2 linked regions of the Caenorhabditis elegans genome follow. The protein of the gene in region 1 interacts with the protein of each later gene in a pairwise test. Each region holds a gene or a part of one and is shown on either strand. Other genes may lie near its edges.

Evidence for each region.
Region 2: the proteins of his-46 (region 1) and cpar-1 interact in a two-hybrid assay, tested with the Caenorhabditis elegans proteins (one large-scale study listed by BioGRID).

The regions. Positions count from the first base shown.
Region 1 is NC_003282.8:11,325,473-11,328,201, reverse strand, and holds his-46 (Histone H4), read left to right. Parts: upstream 1-1,872; coding exon 1,873-2,184; downstream 2,185-2,729. Other genes in the region: leo-1 (RNA polymerase-associated protein LEO1), read left to right, coding at 1-226, 297-436; B0035.21 (Kinesin motor domain-containing protein), read right to left, coding at 633-696, 743-846; his-45 (Histone H3), read right to left, coding at 1,204-1,614. UniProt on the Caenorhabditis elegans protein: Core component of nucleosome. Nucleosomes wrap and compact DNA into chromatin, limiting DNA accessibility to the cellular machineries which require DNA as a template.
Region 2 is NC_003281.10:9,431,952-9,435,643, reverse strand, and holds cpar-1 (Histone H3-like centromeric protein cpar-1), read right to left. Parts: upstream 1,588-3,692; 5' UTR 1,571-1,587; coding exon 1,479-1,570; intron 1,432-1,478; coding exon 1,284-1,431; intron 1,232-1,283; coding exon 911-1,231; intron 863-910; coding exon 638-862; 3' UTR 544-637; downstream 1-543. UniProt on the Caenorhabditis elegans protein: Histone H3-like variant which exclusively replaces conventional H3 in the nucleosome core of centromeric chromatin at the inner plate of the kinetochore.

The sequences.
Region 1 (2,729 bases):
AATGCTCAAGTTAAAGTCATGGACGATGTTGGTCAGAATCCGGAAATTACACGGCGTGAGAATGCCCGGAAGGAGGAAGAATCACTTCGTGCACACATCCGACGTACTCAGATGGTTCGGAATAACTTTAAAGTTCGTGGTCCGAGATATGCAGGACAATATTCTGATGATGAAGATATGCCAACGTCATCCAGAAAAGGAAAGAAGAAGGAAGCACCAATTATTGGTAAGTTCAATTTAATTTTGATTAGGACTTTACCAGAATAAAGAAACTGTACTACAATAATATATTTCAGGTGCCAGCTCAGAAAGTGAGGACGATCATGCGGATACCACAAAGAAAAGCGGATCGGATAGCGATTCTGATGAAGAGTACCGAAAGAGAAAACAACAACAAAAGAAACAGATTGTCACCAGTGACGAAGAATCTGACTAAATTTATTTCAATTTTGATCCTCACAATTTTATATTTCGCGAATTCAATATTTCTCCCTTTACAATATTTCGAAAATGTTTTCCTTTCCTTATTTATTTTAGTCTTCGATATTTCGAGATAATGAAACATCCACAATATTATGAAAAACCGAGCTTTTATTTCTTAATTTCAATCAGATTGTATGTAATATTTAAAATCATACATCCACTACGTCTTCCTCGCTTCTCAAAGAATTGGCATCAAGTGTCGTATCATAAATTCTGAAACTTGAAATAATCTACGATTTCAGAATTCTCAAAATCAAACCTCCGTGTTTTATCGTTTTCCATTGCTCTTGGGGAAATCGATACATTTAATATCAACTGAGCTTCTTCTTGATTTCCAGAGCTTCTCGATCGCAGTAAAAACATCAATATAATGATTTGAAAGAAGATTCCATAAATTAAAATTCGAAAAACTATAGGTTTTGACTTTTGATTCCAGAGTATTTTAAACATCTTTGTGGAAAATGTAGGAAATGATTTTTCACGTTTGATAAAGAAACTGACTAATAAATTTTTACATCTAACAACAAATCTTTGAATCAATCATATTATAATATACACGGAACCACTATGTCCGAAAGATTTAAAATTTAAAAAAATTGAAATTGAAAAAAGTATTCATTGAATATTAAAATGGATTTGAGGATATTTGTGGCCCTAAAGAGGGCCGTTGGGTTCGGTTAAGTTTTGAGATTAAGCTTGCTCAACTACCAAAAAAGGTATTTAAGCGCGCTCTCCTCGGATGCGTCTGGCCAATTGGATATCCTTTGGCATGATGGTGACTCGCTTAGCGTGGATGGCACACAAGTTGGTGTCCTCGAAGAGTCCGACAAGGTAAGCCTCGGCAGCCTCCTGAAGAGCCATGACAGCGGAAGATTGGAATCGAAGATCGGTCTTGAAATCCTGAGCAATCTCACGAACAAGGCGCTGGAATGGTGCTCTGCGGATTAGAAGTTCGGTTGATTTCTGGTAACGTCTGATCTCACGAAGAGCGACGGTTCCTGGGCGATAACGATGTGGTTTCTTGACTCCTCCGGAAGCTGGAGCCGATTTGCGGGCAGCTTTGGTGGCCAATTGCTTTCTTGGAGCCTTTCCTCCGGTCGATTTACGGGCGGTTTGCTTGGTACGAGCCATTGCGTTTAGGTTGATAATCCGTGGGGACTGTAAAAAAGAGAAACCAACGACTGCCTTTGTACGCAGCTGCGGTGGGAGGGCGGGCGGGCGCACTTCTGTCCTTGTGGCAATTAGAACATTCGGTGTGTTACAGACAAAGGAAAGGTGTCCTCGCAGAGTGGTGCAATGTGACTCCGCCTAGCCACCACAGCTGTGTACAAAAGGAATACTGTGATGTCATTTCTTCATCTCACTTGTGAGTCTTCAACGAATTCAACAATGTCCGGACGTGGAAAGGGAGGAAAAGGCCTTGGAAAAGGTGGTGCCAAGCGCCATCGCAAAGTTCTCCGTGATAACATCCAAGGTATCACCAAGCCAGCCATTCGCCGTCTCGCCAGAAGAGGAGGAGTCAAGAGAATCTCCGGATTGATCTACGAGGAAACCCGTGGAGTCTTGAAGGTGTTCCTTGAGAACGTCATCCGTGATGCTGTCACCTACTGCGAGCACGCCAAGAGAAAGACCGTCACCGCCATGGACGTCGTCTACGCTCTGAAGCGCCAAGGAAGAACTCTGTACGGATTCGGAGGATAATTATTATCTTTTCTGTTTTCATACAAACCAAATACCGAACCCAACGGCCCTCTTTAGGGCCACAAATATCCAAAATCCTAATTGATCTCGTTAAATAAATCTTAAATAATTTTGATTTTTCTATTTTAGCATTTTCAAATACAAGTTGACATGATATTTTCTTTATTGCTTTGCACAACTACATACTTTTTTTAAATTTAAAATTAGAATTGCATGCAAGTAGACATTCGGTATTCGATTTTCTTCGTTCGTTCTCAATTTTATTTACAAAAGGGTATATGAAAGTCTGCACAGTTTTGTTTCCCGAACCATATGAATTCACTTTATAATTCAAGTTGGTGATCGAAATGATTTAGATATCCAAGAACATGAAGCGGAAGAAAGCTTGAAGCCTGAAAACCAGTGCCTGAATCATATATCTCGCCTGATATCGGAAATCAAGTAATTATTTCATAGCGTTTTTTCAAACTTCTTGTAATTTGATGTAGTAATAGTTTTTCATAACATTTTTCAACCAATTTTGTGAGATGACCCGAGATTTTTCC
Region 2 (3,692 bases), on another chromosome or scaffold:
TATTGCATTTCTATGTTTATATTTCGTATTACTTTGAAATTATTTCTCCTTTCCAATCTATTGCATTTCTTTTCTTGGCTTTCCCTCTTACAATCTCATTTTGCTTTTTGCGGGCACCTATAAACGTGTTTTTAGTCAAAACTCGTTTCTTCTAGTTTTAGTTTGATGCAAATGTAAGGCTTGAGTTTCAAAGTTTTCAAGTTTTCAATAATTCATCTTTATTTTTTATAATCAGGAAGCTGATATCTTACGAGGGCGTAGAAAAAAACGTCGCTTGAAAACAAGGTGCAAGTAATAATTTAAATTTTAAAAAAATCTGAAAAGTCCTACATTCAAATTGATTGCAAAACTACAACTTTCCAAAAAAATTAAGAATTTTCGCCTAAGATTTACTCATTTTCTAGAACTAAATTCCTTTTTAACAAGAGGTTTCAATTTCAGGGCAATTTATCACTGGGCCAAACAGATTCTGTCAGACATTGTGCAAAGATGCTGCGAAGGAGTCTATCATAAGCTTCGAGCTATTCATACTCGAACAAGTGATTAAATACAATAAATTCATTTTCATGCAATAAATTTTTACAATATAAATAAATAAACAATTTACAGTTAGTGATTAGTATTGCAAATTTTTTAATCAGAGATTTGGAAGGCAAAGACGGCGGTAAAGCTGCACGTCTGTAGTCGTCAGTGTGGCACGTTTGGAATGGGCGGAAATGAGTGATGAACCATCGAACATTTGGACCAACAGTGCTTCCGATGCTTCCTGAAGAGCATTGATGGCGTCAGAACGAATGCGAAGGTCTGAGGAAAATGGAGTGGAAGTCTGCATAATTTCGCGGACGAGGCGTGCGAACGGAGCCTGAAATTTGGAATTGTTTAAATGTGGAATGTAGTAAAAAATATATACCTTTGGAATCAGAAGGTCTTCAGATTCTTGGTATTTGCGAATCTCTTCCAATGCCTTCTGGCCCGGTCTATAACGTCTCGTTTTCGAGATTCTGTTCCTTCCGGCTATCATCCGCACGCGATCGGAGCTCGATGAACCAGCTCTACTTCCATTTCTGCCATTTGTACCATCCGTGTCATTACGATTCCCCACATTTATTGGTGACTGATGGTGACTGTTGGCTGCCGTGATTTCTTCATCGGAGCTATCGTGTCGACGGTGTGAGGGCATATCATGACGGCCGTGGGAGTAATCGACAAGATTAGTTGAATTACTGCCGACCTGAAACAAATATTATGTTGTTTGAAATTTCTCACACAAATTTGAAACTAACCGTAATATCCACAGAAGGAGCTCTTCTTCGAGCTTGCTCTAAGTCGTTGAATCCAACAGCCTCAAGGTCGTTCTTATACTGATCCAGAAGAGCGATAAGGTCAGCGTATCCTGTGGCGCTTGTGTTGAAGCCCGGCACTGAAGTGACTCTGAAACACCATACATTAATTTGTAGCACGAAAACAAAAATAATTACCTTTGTGTGTCATGTTGGAGACGTTGCATGATCCTTGCCACCCTCCCATTCTTCTCGGCAATTTCCTCAATAATTGGTCCGTCATCGGCCATTGTTCGAAGATTATCCTGTTAAAATATAAAATTTAAAAAACTGAAGCTAAATTAAGACAATTTGTTTGAAGGTTAAAAGGAATTAAAGAAGCAATAAAAACGAACGCAGTTTAAATAAGGAACGATTGGCGGCAGGAGAACCATTGAAATACGAAAATGGCAAAACATATTTCCGGTGAAAATAATCTGAGAGTCACAAAATCAGCAAAAATTAGAAAATTCTGGAAGAAAAATCAAATTTTCGCACTTTGAAAAGAAAATGCGCAAGTAACACGAGAGATGCGCCAGCCATTTCCGCTTGCGCGGAAGACGATTATCAAAGTAGGTCTAGAAATAATACTTTTAGCTAAACAGGGAACAGGGCTGTTGCAAAAAATAATTTCCGCCCAAAAAACAAAAAACAAAAAAGCGAATTTTTCAAAAAAACCAAAAAGAAATCAAATTTTGATTTCAAACGGAACAAAACGGAAATTTTTCTTGAAATATTCTGTTGATCTTTCATAAAATAATAAAAATTGAATGAACGGAAGGTTTTTTGTTCTTCTTTGTTTATTTGTTGAATCAGTGTTGTAATTTATTTTTTGGTCTTTTTGGTTCCAGAAAACCGGGGAACATTTTAAAGAGACGAACTGTTGAAACTCACGAGTCGATATATATATATATATAAGTACTTCGGTGAGAGAAAATAATTTTTGTATTTAGACCTCAAACGATATATGAAAATTCAGTTCAATTAGGTTACAAAGACACTTTTGAATTCGAAATTCTATTAATTTAAAGGTTGAAGTTGAGTGTTAAAATGAATGTAGGAGCCCAAGCTGAGTTTGGCATTTTCGCTTTATCAAAAATATAAGAAAAAGGATCATAGTAATTTACCGTATTTCCTATATCAGTCTTGCATGCAAGATTTTATTCATACTGCCCTGTTTTGGTAAATTACCAAAAAGTGCGTGGTACATTCGTTTAACACTTCACTTCAACGTTTAAATGAATAGAATTTCAAAGTCAAAAGTCTCTTGGTAACCTAGTTGAAATAAAATTTCATATTCCTAGGGTTTGGACACATTTTTAATTTTACTTACTATTGAGAAAAGATAGGAGTTTCACTTTGAAAAAAAATCACCAAATTTAGAGCCACCTCTTGTTAAAAAGTAATTTAGTTCTAGGAAATGAGTAAATCTTAGTAAATTAGTAAATGAGCCGTTCGATAGTAAACGAGCGGAAGTGAAAACATTAGTAAATGAGCGTCAAAGTAAATGAGCCACCGTTAGTAAATGAGGATTTGGCTTCTCAAATCTCTTTACCTGTATTAACCGAAAAAAGTAAGTTCATGTTCTGAATAAATTTGTCGCTTGAACAATCTTCTTTTTGACCTCGACAGACTGGAATTCTGGAAACCTGAATTATTACTAAAATTTTACGTTCCTAACCGTGTAGCTTGAAGGCTTATTAGTTCCTCCAACCAATGCTAAAAAGTCAGAAGCCGTATTGTATTCATTGCTGATTCATTTAATTTTCTATTATTAAATGACATTTTGAGTCTTCTCAATCTCCCCTGAAAAGCCAATAATAACACATTTCAAGCGTATTCTTTATTAATTGAAAACTAGATGACCATCGAACAGGTAATGTACGTGCGAAGCTAATCTTGTGGTAGATACTAAATATGATTATGGATAAACCGTTTTTAAACTATACATTTAGATTTAGCAAAAATTTGTTCAAGAAGAAGCACCTCATAGACATTTCCTAATTTGTATATTTACTATGATGCTCATTATGAGATCACTTTTTTTGGAGATTTTTTGCTTTGAGATTGCTTTGACGGAAGTTTGAACGTAGGCGTACTCTGCGTGTCTGCAGAAGATCTGAATTTCCGCTTCGATTCGCCATTTGATGGATCGTATACGGAAAATGTAATCCAAATAGGGTAATAAGACGCTAACTTGCTTTGTAATTATGTCTGGAAAAAATAACTTTGACGAAAAATAATACAACAGTCTGAAATTAAGTTTACATAGCCGCCCGGAATAGTCCTGTTAGATTAAAACATTTTGTGTTAAATTTAGTTACAGTAACCATTGTTTTTGGTTTCTATCAGTGTTTTTTTCGAATTATAATT